Oreochromis niloticus: one gene and its partner. The protein of the gene in region 2 purifies or fractionates together with the protein of the main gene of each other region. This does not show direct contact. Links are inferred from orthologs where the notes say so. Each region holds a gene or a part of one and is shown on either strand. Other genes may lie near its edges.

Evidence for each region. The genes of interacting proteins can lie anywhere in the genome.
Region 1: the proteins of srrt (region 2) and zc3h18 purify together in Homo sapiens (co-immunoprecipitation; 4 studies listed by BioGRID and IntAct, counting the BioPlex papers as one, with this or other methods). This does not show direct contact. The link is inferred for Oreochromis niloticus from reciprocal best matches to the Homo sapiens genes SRRT and ZC3H18.

The regions. Positions count from the first base shown.
Region 1 is NC_031972.2:38,975,856-38,986,068, forward strand, and holds the start of zc3h18 (zinc finger CCCH domain-containing protein 18), read right to left. Parts: upstream 6,403-10,213; 5' UTR 6,264-6,402; exon of another isoform or gene 5,948-6,263; intron 5,334-5,947; 5' UTR 5,290-5,333; coding exon 4,375-5,289; intron 1-4,374.
Region 2 is NC_031975.2:11,166,394-11,176,606, reverse strand, and holds the start of srrt (serrate RNA effector molecule homolog), read right to left. Parts: upstream 4,899-10,213; 5' UTR 4,743-4,898; intron 3,912-4,742; coding exon 3,793-3,911; intron 3,577-3,792; coding exon 3,448-3,576; intron 3,367-3,447; coding exon 3,217-3,366; intron 3,088-3,216; coding exon 2,899-3,087; intron 1,315-2,898; coding exon 1,145-1,314; intron 975-1,144; coding exon 793-974; intron 1-792. UniProt on the Homo sapiens protein: Acts as a mediator between the cap-binding complex (CBC) and the primary microRNAs (miRNAs) processing machinery during cell proliferation.

The DNA of each region.
Region 1 (10,213 bases), on a different chromosome or scaffold from region 2:
GGCTAGAACTAGTGTTGTGAAGTGTATCTTATTTGTATTTCAAGTGCAAAGTAGAAATTGTTTTAAATGTCTAATGAGGAACAATCACTAGGGATGGGTTTAAAATAAATAAATAAAAAGATTTCCTAATTCAAATCAATTTTAATTTGAATAATCCAATATCGATCAAATCCTGAAATCGATTTTTTTAAATAAATGTATTTTGCCAGAAATATCAGAATCTCAGCTAAAAGCTCACAAAACTATTTCAACAACCACCAAAGAGCTAAAAATAGAAAACAATTAAAGAGCAGATAGACAGATTCTACACAAAGATGTAAACACGCAGCTTGTTCACTCGATGGCACGCACACACCACCGGGTGCTGAAAGCCAACATCTCATCACAGAATCCAAAAATGCAGGTTTCGTCATTGCGAACTCTGAATTTTGCAGCATATTTTCAAGGGGGTTATGTGCTATAAAAGATCAGGCCAGGAAAAACTCCGTTATATTTTTCTGGGTTTTAGCCTCTGTTAACTTTGACACAAAGGCATCTGCTGTGATGCTTACACCTCTGATGAAGTCTCACAAGTGTCAGCATTGTTTTTATACCTAGTTGGTTTACACAAAGTTTGTAATTGCAGACAAATAGTCAATTCACTTTGGGCATGTCATTTTCCAGCGGGAACCTCAGAAAAACCCCTGGGGCTTTACGGGTTAAATAATAAGTCCCAAGACTGTAACTGCTTTAGGATCCGTTTTTCCTAATTTGGAGATAAATGTATTTAATTTACATGGTTTAGAGGGTTCTTTCAAAAGTACATATCCAAGATAAATGATCATAATCATAATATTTCTGACTGAGTCAAAAGTGGAATTGAATCAAACCGGGGCCTTGTGAATCAGAATTGAATCGGTTAAAGAAATCAGTGAAAATAGCCAGCCCTAACAATCACTAGTGTGTGACATTCTGCTGATCCACGGAGTTATTAGATAAAGCCTTTTAGTGCCCATTCTGCCTCTCCACTAGAGGCAGAACATGACATCACTTGGCTGGTTGGTGCTAACAGACCTGTTAGCCCAGTCTGTTGACAGAACCGATAACTCAGTGGGGAAAAAGAGGACACTAAGACTAAAAAGCCATCTAATGGTGGCCACCTTTGCACTTCTCTTGGCTGCAGCAATCAGTTTTATTCTGTCCACTTTTACACTCTGTCTCTTAAGCAGTAAGTGCCTCCTCGTTGTTGGCTAGCTAAACTGAAACAGGAAAATCCACCTGTTAGCTGTAATGTTGGGGTTTGTAGAACACGTTATGAATCAGGTGCACTGACAAGCTGCATTTCAACACACTGTTTTTTTTTTTTCTTGTCAGGTCAGGTGTACAGACCGACGAACACAATCAGCTGACGTCTTCATGATGTGACCTTCGGATGCCCATTGCGCAACATGTCTGACATCCCCCGTTATATGAAACGCGGCCTCCAAACAATGTCAGAACATTTTTTTTGAAACATCAAAGCCCCTTTTCCATCAGTACCTACTCAGATCAACTTGCGACGACTCTCCTGGTTTCCCATTACATTTCAGTACTACCTTATGTGCATGCTCGTCATAGCAATGGTGCAAGCATTCTGTGACGTAATTAATATGCAACACGAATGCTACAACAAAGGTGGATGCTGAGAAAACAATATACATGGTGCTTGGTCTGTGGTTTTTTTTTGTCAGACTCAGGGAACCATGCCGTTGTTTTTGTGTAGCGATTTCCCTTGTTGCCGGGTTTCAAAAATAGTGGTTTTGATTTTCGTGAATGAGAGGCTCTCATGACTCATTGAGTGATGCCACTGACCAACCAATAGGTGGCATGCAATCTAATGACATCACATTTTAGTACTTGCTCAGACCGCTTGGAACCCCGGCTGAGTAAATACCAAAAAAAGTACCTGGTACTAGTTACTATGACCTAATTCTAATATGACCGAATTAAGAATTCACACCCTTAAAACCCTTGTGTTTACATTCTGTAGTGCGCACAACAAGACATGCCTAGGCATGTCAGAGAACAAGAACCCAAAACAAACAAAAAACTAAACCGAAAGCAAAACCTTTTTCACCACTTAAGGCAGAAGCAGGCTACAAATGCACATAGGGCTATGGTGGAGCAGATGTGTTGTCCAGAAGTTGTTGTGGCTGCCTATACTGTGGTGTGAAAAGTGCTTTGCCCCCTGGCTTATTTCCTATTGTTTTATATGTCAGTCACACTTAAATGTTCAGATCATTAAAACAAATTAAGATATTTGATAAACAAAAGAAACCACAAAATTCAGTTTCTACATGAAGGTTTTTATTATTAAGGGGGAAAAAAAATCTAAACCTACATGGCCCTGTGTGAAAAAGTGATTGCTGCTAAATCCATTGCGATAATTGGGAATAAGTCTCTTGCAGGGCTGTGGAGGAATTTTGACCCACTCATCTTTGCAGAATTGTTGTAATTTAGCCACATTGGAGGATTTTTGAACAGGAACCACCTTTTTAAAGGTCACAGCATCTCAATAAGATTCAGGTCAGGACATTGATTAGGCCGCTCCAAAGTCTTTTTGTTTTTCTGAAGCCATTCAGAGGTGAACTTGCTGGTGTGTTTTAGATCATTGTCTTGCTGCAGAAGCCAATTGTGCTTCATCTTGAGGTCATAAACAGATGGCCAAACACTGTCCTCCAAGAACAGAGTTAGCGGTATTTTCCCAAAAGCCTTGGGGATCATAGAGATATTTTCTCTGGCAAAACGTATTCACCTTTTCACGCAGGGTCATGTAGGTTTGGATCCCCCCCACTCTAATAATAAACACCTTCATTTAGAAATGTAATTTTGTGTTTACTTGTGTTATCAGTGTGTAACATTTACATTTGTTTGATGATCTGAAACATTTAAGTGTGACAAACATAGAAATCAGAAAGGAAGTCAGAAAGGGGGCAAAATACTTTTTCACACTAGTGTATAAAATAGGGCTGTGCGATATGACCAAAATCTCATATAAGATATATAAGACATCTATCGTCCTGACAACGATATAAATCACAAAAATTTAACATTTTCTGTAAATTCTGTGAATCTCGGGCAGCTCAACTTGCGGGAAGTGTTTCCAGCTGCGCGTCATGTAGCTGAAGTCCAGTGTTTTAACAGATGCATGCAACAATAGATTTTTAGACATAAGTTGTAACGGCCGCCGTTTTCTTTGTGAGTATTTATTACACGGCGTGCTGGGGGGAAAAGCCTATTCTAACGTTTGAGTCTAAGGTTTATTTTTTAGCACCTGGCGGCTCTTTTTTACTTCTCATCCGTAAATAATCTGCTCTTTCACGTGATTCAGTTTATTTTGAAAAGTCTCAACAGGATCTTGAGCTTTATTGTGAAAGGTTTATGTGGAACATAAACAAGCGGACACGAGGTGGTTTTACCGTCGTTGTTGCTAACCACAACGCATAAAAACAGGCGCTTGTCCGTCCGTAGTGTGGTTATATTAAATATAAGAGAAAGAGAGAACTTTAAGAAATTAATATAGCCACTACAGTGACCATCAAAACGGTGAAAAAAATATTGCCGTAAACAGTTTATTTTGCGACACCACGAAACAAACGATAGTGTAAAATGAAACGATAGACATTTTTATATCGTCATCCGATATATATCGTTATATCGAACAGCCCTAGTATAAAACATCCAAAACTAAAAATATATTTCTAGTTTTAGTTATTTGACAGTATCTGTGCATAGGTTTTACAGGGCCAAGAACTTACCGTATCTTGGCCTGATATTACCGTATCAGTATATGTATTATATTGCAAAGGGACTTGTATTGTGGGCTTTCTAATCCACAGCTCTATTCAGATTTTGCAAGAACATATAAGTCAACTATTAATCAAATACTAACTTAACTCAAATACTAACTCTATTTGGACGTTTTTTTTTGGTTTTCCCTCTTTTGCTCTTCACACAGAGCATGCATTGAAAGCCTGCTAAAACGTGACTCATGAGAAAGATATGGACCTCAAACACAAAAAGAAAGAAAAAACCTTTGAGTTCTGAAAATGTTAAGACTACAAGGCTTCATATTCTTATTTCTCTATTATGAGAGTGTAACACACACTCAACACACTCACCAGTAGCATAAAGAGCATCCAGCCAAATTAGGTCCAGTCCACTTGGAATTTTTTTTTTTTTCAGATTTAACACCACTCTTTATGTTTAATGGCTATTTGTTCTTAAGGTTTATCAATAAAACAAAAACACAGTAGCAGTGCTTCCTGATTAAAGGCTTATTTTCAAACACAACACAATTTACCTGCACTCAGCAAATCAGACGGCACTACTACCAACTGAACTACAATAACTTACATCAATCTCTCCTTCATCAATTTCTCCATCATCCTCATCCTTCTTCTTGTCTCTGAAGGAGTCCTGGCGTATCCTCTCCGGCCCTTTCGACCCATCTGTCCTCCTGGATTCGCTGTGTTTAGGAGATGGTGGAAGGATTGACTTTTTCTCCTTTTTACTGCTTTTGTCCTCGCTTTCCTCCTCATCTTCATCTCCCTCTACTTTTGTGTCTTCCTCATCTTCCTCCTCGTGCGTAGGGATGCCAGGCTCCTCTGGGACCTCCTCATCATAATCAAGCTCATGTTCGTCTAGTTCCCGGGAAACTGACACAGAGTCATCCTTCACTTCCCTTAGCACAGCAGCTCTTCTTGTCTCTTCATCTCTTATTCTTCCATCCTCTTCATCTTTGTTTTTGTAATCCTCCTCCTGATCATCCCCTTCAGCTACCTCACATTCTGCAGAGGCAGCTTTTATGTAGTCATCATATCCTTCCTTCCAGTCTTCTCCATCTTTTCCAGCACTGAGGCTCTTGGCATTTTCTGGCTCAGAGTCTGGGGATAATGGAGTGCTGACAACTCTCTCATCATCCTCCTTTCTTTCCCTCTCCTCCACCACCTGAGGACTGTCTTCATTCCCCTCCATAAGCACAATGCTCTCATCATCCTGTCCCAACTCTCCCATTTCTCCAAAAGGTTCCTCATCCTCTGGCTCCGACACAAAGTCAGGCACCACCTCATCCTCCTCTTCCTCTAATTCCACATGTTTTCCATGCCCTTCCATCACTTCTATGTCCCCTTCTTCATTGAGGATCTCGCTGTCTGAAATGACCCTGTCCTCCTCTTCATTAGGAGACTCCAGCAACTCACTGTCAGAAAGACCCTTTTCCTCCTCCTCAGGAGACTGAGGGGACTGGGTAGGGCTTTCAGGAGTATCCATGTGAATCCACTCTGGTGCAAAAAAAACAACAACAAAACAGCAATCTGTCAAAAGAAAGAAAGAAAGAAAAGACAACTGTATGTCACCAGTAATCTGATAGTAATTTAACACTGTTCAATCTAATGCTACGTGCCATTTGATAATCGATTTAAAAACAGTCAGTTAAAAACAGTCAAAATTAACCAATAAAATGTCTAGAATCAAAAATTAAATTTAAAATGATGCACCACAAAAAAATGTTAATTCTGCTACCAACTGAAAGAAAGATGGTACAGTTAATTTATATAGTAATATATAACTGTCATACACCATAACGCTAAATACTTGTTTTTGTTCATTTGGTGATTGCTGACACAAAGAACGGAGAAAAACTAATTTCTATTAACTTTGATAACACCTTTCCTGAGATTGAGACGTAATTAGATGTTGGTCACAGCAGTATATGTTTTATGAAATTATAGTTTCCGGCGCTGCTAATTCACCAGCAAAGTAAACGTTAGCTATAACACGCTAACTAACAACCACCATTTAGTTTTACGTGTATATAAGTCTCCATATTGCTCCATGGTACAACTATATGTGTATACATAATTAGACAACATGCTCAAGTTTATAAAGACAGGTTTCCCTGTAGCATAATGTCACTGGTAACACTTACAATGGCTGGGTCGCGCTAGTTCGCAACAAGGCCCATAACTTGGCGGCGCGAAGACAAGGCTAATAACGAGTAAAGTGTCCCCAACCTATGGATAGTTTTCTTCAGCGATTATAAACGCTTGGCTTAACCATACAAATAAGTGGACAGTACCGGTTTAGTACGAAGCGTTCGCACCAGTACACTTGGCCGTCTTACGGTTAACAATGTAGCCTCCCCTGAAGCTAAGCTAAAAGAGCAAGTACACTGTGCTAGGAGCTAACAACACATTTTTTAATCACCTTGCCGACACGAAGCTCTATAAAGACCGCGCCTCTACCTTTTCAGCTGCACTCTCCCGCGGATAAAACTTTTTACTGTCTGCAATAAATATTAGACGGTTTTATTTTTAGCCGCTGTAGCGATGAAAATAAAGCACCCTGCACGGCCCAGCGAGAGCGGCCATTACCTCAACGTCATCAACATACGACAACCGTGTGGTTGGAACCGCGCTGAAAGCTAATCGGGGCAGACCTGAGATCAGTATGGGCCAACGTTGACAGGAGAATATCTGTAATATTTTAAGAATGTTGTTAGACATACATGATTTTTAACCAGTTACTTAGAAATCATGGAAGACATTTTTGGGGAGCAGTTAAGTCGTTCCATGTAACTATTATTTTTGATTAATGTTTTCTCTTCTATTCACTTGGTGACCTCTCATCTCTGGTGACAATAACTGTAATATGGATACAGTGTTCCACCACTAATTCTTTTTGAATTAACTATTTGAGTTAACTCATTTAATTTCATTTCTTTCAGTTCTCCATATCCAAAGACAAATTTAACTTTTTTTTAGTTCACTAAAGAATAAATTAACAACAAAGTAATCATATCAGTATTATGCAGTGACTATATGAAAGTAGATTTTCGTCACTGATGTTGATTGTTGCAGTTAATAAACTTTTTAACATAATTCTTGATCATTATTATTTTTTTGCCTTGAAAACAGCAGCTCACAACAAGATTTAAGGTCAACTTACTTAGAAGAAAACTTTGGTTTAAAGGTAAAAGCTCACAGCAAGTTGAGTGGCTGAGTGAAAAACCAGCGCTACCCCTCAGCCCCTAGTAGATGCACCTGTGGCATAAATTTGAAAATCTTAAATCAGTCTTAAATGAGTTGCTGTGTTCAACAGGCAAACCAATATGAACTGTCTAAACAAGAAAGGCCACTTTGTTTGAGCTAACTAATCGTTTGTAGATTATAAAAAATTATTTGGTTTTAGTTTGATTAAACTTAAAATGTCTGTTTATTTCCAAAAACGTCTAACTTGAAAAATTCTTGCCCATAATGAAACCAATCCTTATTTCTTCATATTTTGTTTGTAATATAGAAAATGAGCACAGTAATGTGTAAACATGAATACGGTGTAACTAGGCGGTACCAGAGTTACTATGGGAGGGGCTCAGAGTACAGCAGGAGTCTCCAACACATCACTTGCGAATGGGGCCTTTTTCAGTAGCTTGCCAAAGGGGTCAATAACAAAAGTGGTCAAGAAAATAAGAAATATAATTTGTAGGTTGGCGAAACTGGCCAAGCTTTCCATCCAATCAAAATTAAAGATACCCCTACCCCTCTTGAAATGAAACAATTATTTGTCAACTAACTGTCAATCAAAAGTTTGTGCCGGGCTGCTGTCTGCAATTGAAGCGGTTAGACGCCATATGGAGGTAGCAGGCAGACGAGGTGCCAGGCTATTAGCAACAATGATAGCAGCAGAGTTTGGTTATGCTAGTAAGAGGCAAAAAATTTATTTTCTTGAGGAGTGGGAAACAACTTTTTTTCCCACAAATGTGTGTGTGATCTGTGGCGCGAGCCTTGGTGTCTCTAAAAAAATGCAACGTGGAGCAGCATTTCACCAAAGTTCACAGCAACTTTTCCCAGGACTTTGCAGTGGGAAGCAACCTCTGCAAAGAAAAGGTAAAAGAACTGAAAACTATCCTCCAAAAACAACAATCTAAACAGCCAAAGAATGCTAGCGCATCAACCGAGGCATCATTTAAAGTGGTGCACATCCTCACCAAGCACAAAAAACCCTTCATTAATGTCGGGATCATTAAAGAGGCAATGGCCACCATGGCAGAATCATTGCGAAAATAAGACTGAGATTCTTTCTGCTATCGCTAATGTCCAGCTTGGCTTGAACACTGTCAGCAGATGCAGAGAGAAAGCTAGATTTGGACCTTAACAGGTGCTCCTGGTATTTACTTCAGCGTGTTGAGTCTGTGGACTACAGTGATACGGCACAGCTAGCTGTGCACACATGGTGATGACTTTTCCACAAAGGAGGAATTTTTGACATTGCTGCCACTGGAAACCAAGGAAGTTGACATTTACAATGCAATGAAGCGGTACTTGTTGGAAAAAAAGATTTCCATTGAAAAACTGGTTTCTGTAACAACTGATGGAGCAGCAGCCATGACAGGACATCACTCGAGATTTATTACACATGGCAAAGCGGACCCAGACTTTCCTAAATGTTTGAACTATCACTGCATCATCCATCAGCAGGCTATTTGTGCAAAAGTCACACGGAGGTCCAGTGCTGAGCAAACGTAAGATGAGAGGAGAGGATACCATACTACCAAGTGATGCTGAGTGGCTGATCTGGCTTTCCTGATGGATGTGACTGAAAAAATTAAAAAGCTGAACCAGCAGTTGCAGGATAGAGACAAAAAAGTGTGTGAAATGATCAGTGCTGTGAAGGCATTCACAGCAGATGCAGCAGCCACTATTTTGTGGTCTGTGCTTTGAGGAACTAATGTCTTGTTTATACTCCTCCTGTCTTGCCTGCGTTGTTTTGCCACAGTTACTTCTTGTCCGTGTGTCTTGCTACTTTACCTGCATCATTTGTTTATTTGTACTAGCTTGTTTAGTGATTTGCTCCACTCGCCACAGAGAGTGCTAAATGGGAATTCCTTTTTGTTGTGTTTGAGCTAGGATTACCTGTTATATCAACAGTCACTGGCACAGGCGACAGTTCACCTGTGGAGTGTGTATATGACTCTTTGGCTTGTGTATTTTATTGTAGCGTGTGTGTGTGTGTAAGACATTTTAAAACTGTATGCCTGGAGTGGATTTTAGTAGTTTTTCTTGTATGAGTCTGATGTCAAGTGTCCTATTATATTTTTGTGATTTTTAACATTCTTGCTTTTTATTTTCATGACTGAAGATAAGCCAGTAGCTGTGGGACCTTCTTGGTGGTGGGTCCTTTCCCACAGTCTCTATGTTGTGCAGCATCTTGGATGTAAAACTGGTTTTTATTATTTTAAAATCTGTATTAAAGGACTAAAGGTATTTAAATATTTTAATGGAACCAATCTGCTTCAGTGGTGCATTTTTGAAGCTGTGCAGACATTTGGTTATTTTGTTTAAATGCTTCATCTTTATATTTCCTAGGGGTGAAATTCTCCTAGGTGGCGTTGTTGCGAACTTAATCATAACCCCCCTGACCACCACACCACACTTCTGTGTTTCCCAGATTAAGTCAGTCCAGTCCAGTTCTCTTGGCTTTCAGATCTGGGTTCCAGGGTCTGCCATTCTGGACTATGGTCAATGAGCCACAGGTGTCCTCCTTACAAACCCAGTGTGTTGCCCGGAGGCTTCCATTAGGGGGTGCACTATCACAGCTTCCCAGTCTTCCCATTGCCCACTGCCAGTTTCTGTCTCATCTTTTCATTCTCCATCTCTTTGTGGATGTGTTTGTGGATGAGGCACTGTATTTACCTTTTCCAGGGGTAGTCATCCTTGGTCCCCATCAGTAGTGGGAAGTAAAAAGTACTTTACTGCTATACTTGAGTAGAATTTTCAGGTATCTGTACTTTGTTTTACTATTTATTTTTCTGACAACTTTTACATTACTCCACTATCTACATTTTTACACAAATGGCTGTACTTTCTATGCCTTAAATTTAAAAAAGGCTTGATACTTGTTACTGTTTAATGCATTTAATGCATTTGAGGAAAGTTACAGTACTTCATGATCTAGCTAACGCTACAGAACAGGCACAAGCATAAAGGGAGTAACTATTTTGGAGTGGCAGGTAATTTCAAATGTAATGTTTCTATCAGTCCAACAAAGATCAGTAAAAACACACACTCTGTGTGTGGTTATGTGCAGTTTGTTGCACAATGTGACTGCTAGCTAAATGTACAGCTGATGCATTTCCCAGGGAGAGAAAAGTGACAGATAACTTCACATGTGAGGCAGGAAAGGAAGACAGGTTATA
Region 2 (10,213 bases):
CTGTGGCACAGTTCATTGTCATCAACAGAGCCTCATAGGGCTGTTCGATATAACGATATATATCGGATGACGATATAAAAACGTCTATCGTTTCATTTTACGCTATCGTTTGTTTCGTGGTGTCGCAAAATAAACTGTTTACGGCAATATTTTTTCATTATTTTGATGGTCACTGTAGTGGCTAAATTAATTTCCTAAAGTTCTCTCTTTCTCTTATATTTAATATAACCACACTACAGCCGGACAAGCACTTGTTTTTATGCGTTGTGGTTAGCAACAACGACGGTAAAACCACCTCGTGTCCGCTTGTTTATTTTCCACATAAACCTTTCACAATAAAGCTCAAGATCCTGTTGAGACTTTTCAAAATAAACTGAATCACGTGAAAGATGCAGACTTGCAGAGTATTTACGGATGAGAAGCAAAAAAGAGCCGTCAGGTGCTAAAAAATAAACCTTAGACTCAAACGTTAGAACAGGCTTTTCCCCGCAGCACGCCGTGTAATAAATACTCACAAAGAAAACGGCAGCCGTTACAACCTATGTCTAAAAATGTATCGTTTCATGCATCAGTTAAAACACTCGACTCCAGGTACGCGACGCCCAGCTGGAAACACTTCACGCAAGTCGAGCTGCGCGACATTCACAGAATTTACAGAAAATGTTACATTTTTGTGATTTATATCGTTATCGGACGATAGATGTCTTATATCGGGATATGAGATTTTGGTCATATCGCACAGCCCTAGAGCCTCATGAAATTTCTACCGCCTGTCTAACAGAGCACACATACCTTCTCATTTCTGTCTTTCTCCACTGGTTTGCAGTCACTACCCAAAGCTTTGAGGTCTTCTCTCTTGGGAACTTCAGTGCCCCTGGAAATAGATGCTGACTTCTCTCGGTCTTCTTCCTCTTCAGATGGCAGGTCCAAGATGCGAAGATCATGGTCTGTCCCCCCTTCCATTTTAATCACAGCTGAAATGCAGAAAGAACGTTATGGTTCAGCCATAGGAGTACTCTTCTAAGTACCATCCATGCAATTAGGTCACATCATTTTTGCTTTTATTGCAAAAGCAGACTTAATTGTAGATACAAATGAAAACTCCACAGGTCAACAATGCTCTTTAAGTTGTTTGAGACCTCACCTGCATCCAGAACTTTGATGATGGCTGGGGTCTGTTCAATGTCCAGGGAGACATTATCAAACCAGCCATTCTCCATTAGGAACACGAACACATTCAGACGGTTGTGCAGAGCCCTCTGGGCCTCTGCCTTAAGTCGTCTGGCCTCGTCAGGGTGGTACTTGGATCGGAACCTGTGTCCAGAGTTGGGCGTCCACAACAGATTGGGGAGAGAATGATGGGGGTTGGGATGAGCAGGAAGCAAAAGTTAGAGAACAAATAAATATTACAAGCCTACGTTACATCTGTGTATTTTACACTTTTTTCAGTTTCTTCTAATCACATTTTTAACAGAATATATATTCTGAATAGGTTTTTTTTTAAATGTTAAACAACTCCAATTCAATAAGCAATCTAGCATATGAAAAGAATGTAATTTGTGTTCAGTATACACTAGTTATTATATCTTTCTGTAATTCCAAGTTTTGACTGTGGTCTTCATAGCCAATTACTCCACAATGTTAGAAGATTTGAGATTAACTCACCAAAAAAGAAAGAAAAAAAAAGGCAGGAAAAAAAAAACACAACAGAGATGATCAAATTAAACATTTACATATTCAAAATGTCACATTAAAAATGTTAGCATTAAGTGGACTACAGTTACCTTTTGTTCTGCCAGTTTAATAACAAATAAATACAGAGAGCGGGGTCTCTTCTGTGAAAGTGCGCTCCACTTCACCCCAATGGTGTGTCTGTATGCACACAAATTCGGTTTTGGGATTTGATCCGAATATAAAAAGAAAATTGTGTCGAAAAAGGATAAAACAAGAAAAAAATTCTCCGTGTGCGGACATGGCTGTCTATCTAAAATCCCTGTTACTGTGTGTCTAAGAGCAACTGCATTGTGCGCAGTGCATGCCCTGTCTGTCTAAGACCGATTCTTGCGGATGAACTCCACTTTTTCTCATCTTGAAAAAAATCGTCGTCAACGTGGTAGTTGAAATGAAGGGAAGAAAAATGGGTTATGACAAAACAGAATAATTTTGCATGATACCTGTGAAACAAGTGTCAAAGCATTAAGAGACAGCACACAATTATGAATCTTGTGTTACTCCAAATAAGACAATCAACCCAAAGAACACAGACGTTTTGGTCAAAGCACGTTATTGCACCAAATGATGACTTTAAACAATTCAGTTACACAAAAGTGTAACTATGGATATTTATGGATAAAAAAATTTAAACTCCTAAAATACATTTATAACAAATATAAACTAATGTTGAAATTGGGTTGATTTTCTTATTTTGTGAACAAGTACTGTAGCAACAGTCATTAGAAATAAATTAACTGTGTGTGCCTGGTCCTCGTACTGGGTGAAACTGTCATACCAAATGCCTTTCCACTCCTTTTGATTTGTGAGTTTAACAAGAACATAACGGAGATGGCATATACATGCACCTTGTTTTAATGTACCAATTTCATTAGCCATCAATTACAAATAAAAACATCATCTGAATTTTTGAATAGAATTCTAAGATAAACCCACCAAAAGGACCAGGCTCAGCCTATTATATTTGCCTTTAAATAGCAATTAAATCTAAAATGATTAAAAGGCCAATAAAGAAATAAAGAGCCAATCACATTTGGTGAGGACAACAGAAAATAACAGCTTAAGTAATGCTAATTGATCTGTCAATGCAATAATTCTATTACGACTATAATAAAGAAATTATATTCTTGATAAGGGCTTATGTAGGAAAGGCATCTAAGATCGTACCACTCTTCATCTTTATGAGCCAAAAAGAAGTCCTGCATCTGCTGCCGCCGGAAGTCGATCTTGTACTCATTGTAGCGTTTGACTGCCTCAGTCTCATCCACAGAATCATCTAAGGACAGCAGAAACTCCTTAAAGCTCTTCATTATTGGAGGGGGAGGACCTAAGTCCAAGTCGTGGATGTTACCAAGCCTAATGAAAGAGAGAGATGTTGGAAGAAGCTAGTTGGCAAAAAGACATATCTGAGGTAACAACATTAAAAACATCTTTAAAGATATGTAAAGTAACATTTAACTTCAAAACTGAACTTAAATTAATTACCTGGCCTGAATGGGGATGCCCTGATGAGGCTGCATGAGGTGCATGTCGGGATGGCCCCAATGTTGTGGTGGTCCATAGCTGGGCCCTCCTCCACCACCACCATAACCCAAGTCATACCCCCCACGGTAGGGGTCTCCACCATGGTCATCCCTGCCAGGAACGGATAAGGGGCTTTAAGTAAAATAAGAGATGGTTATAGAGATTGTGAATTAGTAACATTGCAAATCCTACCAGTCTCTTCTCATGCGTTTCTGCTGGGGACTCATGTCGTGTCTGGGTGGGGTAAATCTCTCCCTTCGACCTCTATCATAATCCCGGTACTCTCCACGACTTCGCCGCTCCCTGCCTCTATCCCACTCCCTGGGCCAATGATCACAATCAGAGGAAGGAGAGAAAACATGAGGAAAGAAAGAAAGGTAAGAAACACACAAGTCTATCTTTAATATCCACTTTACTCAGTGTAAGAGCAGCAAAGAGCTACCATTTAATAGCATTTAGCTGTTCATCCGAATATGATTTGGCTGTATCAGGTTTCACTGAATCTGGCTTGTGCCCAATAGCGTCTCTCTTTCTTACCTGTCATTCCAGTCATCTCTGCGCCGGTCCTCTCTCTCTCTTGAACGGTCATAGTCACTTCTCTCCCGTCTGAATTTGTCCCTTCTCCTGCGATCATGGTCATCATCACTGTCTCCCATCTGCATGAAGAAAGAAAATCCAGATGACGTGTAGTATCCAGTGATTACTATTAAGCTGGCTACAAGCAGAATCGTTTTAAGGAAGGCTTTACTTTTGATATTAAGACCTGATAAGTGCAAAGTGCAAAGCCAAAGTTTATGATTTACATCTCCCAAGAAGAAACTGCTATGATATAACACAACAACTCAAAACACATGTGCATTGATTTAGTGTGACAAGTCAGTAAACCATGTCCGCAAAGTGCTCGTTGAAGATTGTTCTCATTATAAACCAGGGAAACTGTTTCCTTTAGTCTGTATTCAGTATGTGCGGTTGCCACATGGAGACCGGGACGGTACTTACAACAAGTGACTATTAATATTTGACCTTCTAATTCAAAAGGATTTTGGTGACGGCAGTCATTCAAACAAGGGGGACCGTGAACAAGGAAATGCAGATGGTCTGTCACAGACGACGTGCGTAACTTGCCGTAAAGTGATTCCTTTGTCTTGCATAATAGCTATCATTGATATCATCAGACTAGGATGTACAAAATTTACAAAAAAAACGAGATCAAAATTATTAGCTATCCGGACATACAGGTTTGAGTCTTTCAGTCGAAACAAAACCTGTAAATTCGTGTTTCAGGGCGAGTTAGGACCCTCGATAATCCAGCCATGTATCGTTAGCCACTACGCTAGCTGTGTGAGTTAGCTAAAAATAAAATGAAATAAATTAAATTAAATTAAATAAACTGAATTACCCGTCGGTCTAATTCTACAGACCTGTCTTATTCTAAATAACAGACCAACTGATATAACTGAGGAAAAGTCAATAAATTACGCTAATACCTTAACAATAGTTTGTATGATGGTCTCGTTCGTCCCCCTCTTTCTCCGTAGCCTTCACGTCTTCTTGTTCTTCGCTTGGAAATGGTGTACAACTAAACATGGAATTAGCGCCACCAACTGGTTTGGAGGGTAAGCCACAATTTATCACCTCCGCCCTGGTAGAGTTTACGTGCGTGTCATTCTTTTTGGTTGTCCAGGAAAATAAATCTCCAAAAGTTGAATCTGTTCATCTGGACGTAGCGTTTTGTGGGAGAAACGTTTCGTCACTCATCCAAGTGACTTCTTCAGTCTCAACTGACTGCAGGTTTCCCCAACCCTTATAAACAGTACATTTGCATAATGACTGAAACCAGCCCACTGAAGGAACAATGGGCTGTGAGGTCAGTTCCTTAATCATAATTATGCAAATTCCCATGACCATTGATCAACAATCACTGACCAAAACCCACTGATCAAAGACCACTGATCAATGGCCATGAGTACCATTCACAGAGAGTTGAGGAATGGCTGCAATCACAGCATTGTAAGATGGCGAAAGATGTACCCTTAGGCCTCCTCCTCGATTCAGAGATGGTCTTTCCCTTTTCACGTAAATGGCCTCCTTGACTCCGCGCTCAAACCAGCGTTCTTCCCTGTCCAGGATGTGTACATCATTGAAAGAGTGTCCACTGGCCTGTAGGTATAACCCCAAAATACGCTGCGCCAAAAATTGGTCCACCCCAAGGATCGGGTCCCCCGACACAAACAGAGTAACATAGTGTACGCTGTTAAGTGCCAGGAGGATTGCCAGGATTTATACATCGGGGAAACCAAACAACCTCTGGTGAAAAGGATGGCACAGCACAGAAGAGCGACCTCGTCAGGCCAGGACTCTGCAGTCTATTTACACCTACAGGCCAGTGGACACTCTTTCAATGATGAGGATGTACACATCCTGGACAGGGAAGAACGCTGGTTTGAGCGCGGAGTCAAGGAGGCCATTTACGTGAAAAGGGAAAGACCATCTCTGAATCAAGGAGGGGGCCTAAGGGTACATCTTTCGCCATCTTACAATGCTGTGATTGCAGCCATTCCTCAACTCTCTGTGAATGGTACTCATAGCCATTGATCAGTGGTCTTTGATCAGTGGTCTTTGATCAGTGGGTTTTGGTCAGTGATTGTTGATCATCATTAATCATAATTATGCAAATTCCCATGACCACTGATCAACAATCACTGACCAAAACCCACTGATCAAAGAACAGTGGTCAGTGATTGTTGATCAATGGTCATGGGAATTTGCATAATTATGATTAAGGAACTGACCTCACAGCCCATTGTTCCTTCAGTGGCCTGGTTTCAGTCATCATGCAAATGTACTGTTTATAAGGGTTGGGGAAACCTGCAGTCAGCTGAGACTGAAGAAGTCACTTGGATGAGTGATGAAACGTTTCTCCCACAAAACACTACGTCCAGATGAACAGATTCAACTTTTGGAGATTTATTTTCCTGGATGATTGAGAATGCATCAAGACGACTTTTGATCAAACTTTTTAGGGGTGCATACTGGGGTCACGTTACCAACCCATTCAAATTTGGCTTACATCCTCCAAGGTCTTCAAGGTCAAATTAATGATTTTTTGGTCAAAAATTGACAAAAATCCTTAAAACTTAGAAACTATAATTCTTAAAAGTGCGGTGTGTGTTGTCAACATATAGAACGATTTAAAATATCATGTCACATTTGACCTCTGACCTTATCTTCAAGGTCAATAGATTGATCTGAAGGTCAACGTGATAATAATGCTATATAGAGCTATTTAAAACTATGTTTCTTACTGCTATTCTTTCTACTGACCACATATAGGCATAAAGGGAATGATATATGGGGATTCTAAATATCACATTACTTTGGATCTCTCACATTTTCTTTAAGGTCAAATAAAGTCAAACATTCATAAAATGTCTTTTATGCTGCCTTTGTTTGTACTGGTAACATTTGGGAAATGTTACTGGTATATGAGGATTTTAAACATCACATTATAGTTTGCATCCAAATGTGTCACATTTTATATTTGAGCTCACTATTACGTTCCATATCTGTCTTTCTTTCAAGTTGACCCTAAAATGTGTTATATATTTAGAAAAAGTAATGTCAAATGCTATTTAATAAGTTCAAGTTATTAATTTCCAGTTATTTACCTATTATTATACCTATTATCTATTACCTTTCCTAGTTTAATGTTTATGCCCAGAGAGTGAGCTGCCTTAGTGGAGGTTTGCACCCCAGAATGCTTAGTTTTCCATCTTTCACACTGTTTGTAGTGTTTGCCGTTTAGAAAATCTTCTGCTTTGATAGTATGTTTACACATAATTTAAAGGGAAAGATTATTTCAGCCCACACCAGCCATGGTTTTCATAGACCCAAACCTACAACACATATGCAAGAGGAATAATCAAGAAATGGAGATAAAAGTGAAAAACTAATACTGCAAATGCATTGGAGAATATGGTTAATAAATGGACTGTAGGTCTTATACATGTAAATTTATCCCCTAACCAAAGGAATTTGCAAAGAAAAGCGTCTGGACTTGTTTGAGTTGCTTGAAGACGTTTCACCTCTCATCCGAGAAGCTTCTTCAGTTCTAAGGTCAAATGGCCGAGAGTTCCAGATTTAAAACCAGTGGGAGTATCCCCCCAAGGAGGGACAAAGGACCCCCTGGTGATCCTCTAATCACATGAGCCAAGGTGTGAAAGCGGGTGTGGGACCTAATCAGCCAGGGTTTCGGGTGAGCTCATTGTGAAACCTGGCCCCACCTTGTCATGTGAATTCTTGAGGTCAGATGGCCCAGGATGTGAGTGGGCGTTAAGGCGTCTGGGGAGGGAACTCAAAACTGGATTATAGATGGCAGACAGTTGGTGTCGTAAACCACCACCTCTGTTCAAAGATGGTCGCTCACAGTGGACATAGATGGCCTCTTTCACTCCTCTTTCAAACCATCTGTCCTCTCTGTCCAAAAAACGTCTTCAAGCAACTCAAAGAAGTCCAGACGCTTTTCTTTGCAAATTCCTTTGACCACGATGACCTGGATGACTGAGAACCTTCACAGACATATTTATCCCCTGACCTTTTTCTGATCAGGATTTTCATTCTCATTCTCTACGTATAACACACAATTATAACACATCATTACTTATTCAACATTTTTTATAGTTTTCCCTCTGTATTCACTTCAGTTCAATTCAATTTAATGGATAGCGTGAGAAATATAGGGGAGAAAGACAGGACAAAAGACATACAGTGGAAGAGAGCCAGAGTGAGTGAGGAAGAAACACTCAGTGCATTACAGGAAGCCCCCAGCAGCCTAGACCTATTGCAGCATACTAAAAGGAGGATTCATGGTCACCTGATCCAGCCCTAATTGCATGCTTTATCAAAAAGGAAAGTTTTAAGCCTTATCTTGAAAGTAGAGAAATTGTCTTTGAAACCATGAAACCTGAAGGCACTGCCTCCCACTTTAGTGGTCTTCTATGGCCTTTCAGGTCTCTTTGGTGTTGCTGAGCTGACCAGAACTTCATCAGAATTCACCAGAATGTTGACTTTGCAAAACAAGCTTTTGCTATCTCTCTGATAGGTTCATTCAGCCTTCTTCACCTGCATCAACCTCTTGAAAAGCTACCAAATGCCAAACACTTGGAAACAAGTGTTTATATTTAATCTGCCAAGTTTGCCACGATGTAATAAGGGAACAGGTCCAACTTGCCCATAAAACTGCTTTTAGATAATTGTCCACTTGCCTTTGAGCTCTGGAAACAAGAGACTGTGTATGAAGGAAACGATTTGATACTGTTAGAAGAAATAAATTTAATCCAATATATTTTGCTGGATTCGGTGTCTTTAGGGTTCTATAACTCTTATCCAAGATGATTCCTTTGAAAAATGTATACAAAACATACTGTGTCACTGTAAAATGCTGTGGGGTTAGCTTATGTTCTATTGAACAACACTCATCAATACCATGTTCCTTGAAGTGTTTCTATAATTTAAAATTAATTGTTGTGTCATATATCATCTACATTATTAATGTGCTCGTTCCAGACATAAGCCGTACCCTGCCTTTCAGTTTTATGGTTACTCATTAAGACTTGATTCATTAAGGCTTTATGCATACGATGAATTCAGGCCATTTAATCCTTGTTAATTTCAGTATGTTAGGAGGCCTGGGTCGTTGACCCAGGGTTTTTGAGTTTGTTATATTATTTATAATTTCTAGTCTTTGGTTTCTTTGAGTTCTGTCTTATGGTTTTTGTCTCTGTCGTCTCTAGTTGCTCTGTCTCCCCTGTCAGCTGTATCCCCTTGTCTAGTTCGTGTCTCTGTGTATCCTTAGTTGCTATATCCCCGTGTCCAGTCAGTCTGTGTCTGTAAGTTCAGTCTGTGTTGTGTTTCCTGTTTTACTTTGAAGGTCTGTCTTTTCTCAGTGTGTTCAGGTTACGCTTCTTTGTCTCGTTAGTCCTGATTTGCCCCAGCTGTGTTTCCCTCCTGTTGCCCATTCCCTGAGTACTCCCTCTGCGTATTTAAGCCCTGTGTTTTCCTGTGCTCTCTGTTGCGTTCTACCGTTTTCTTAGTTGTGTGTTCTGTTAGTCCTATGGTTTAAGTTTATTTTGATTTTTTCCAGTCATGTTATATTACCCCTTTTTTGAGTTCAGTATTAAAGCTGTTTTGAGTTAACCTTTGGTCTCCGGAGTCTGCACCTTGGGTCCTATTCCTGTCTGCACACAGCCTGCACCTAACAGAAGAACGCGACCAGAACATGGACCCCGCAGACTGTTCCACCTCAGACTTTGAGGCTGAGATGACGAGGTTGGTCGATTTGCTGGACCGCATTGCTCAGGCCGATAGCTTACAGGCTATGGCTGTGGGACTGAGCGCGGTCGAGGCAATGATTACAACCAACCCCCAGCTTCATCAGTTCTCCATGGACACTCATCTGGGCCACACCATAGCCGCGTGGAGGGAGCACGTCAGAGCCAGTGAGCTGGCTATCTCTCTCTCCACACCAACGCAGCAGCAGCAGACGGAGCTCGCTGTTAAGCAGCTGCGTTCGCCACAGCAGGACAGTGTTTCTGCTTGAGGTTCTGGAGAACTGCTCCTGTGTGGTGAGCCGGAGGATTTGCAGCCCGGTGTTAGGGTTCAATGTTGAGAGAAGAATCCATAAATAACCACAGATCCAGGCGTGTGCAATTTAGACGGCATTTTAATGAACACATGTGTGAGTTCAACAACCCAATCAGTGTTGAACTGTCTTTATCATATTCAGACAACTGTTTTATAGGGTTAAGATAGTACAGCCCCCTTTCCTGTTACTAGGCAGATTTAAACAAAGCATACGTCAGCCTAAACCACAATGACTTTTAACATAGAACATCATCTTCGTGTCGACGGCTGATGCTTCCTGTCTCCATCCTGCCCAGGCTTATCTTCCTGGACATCA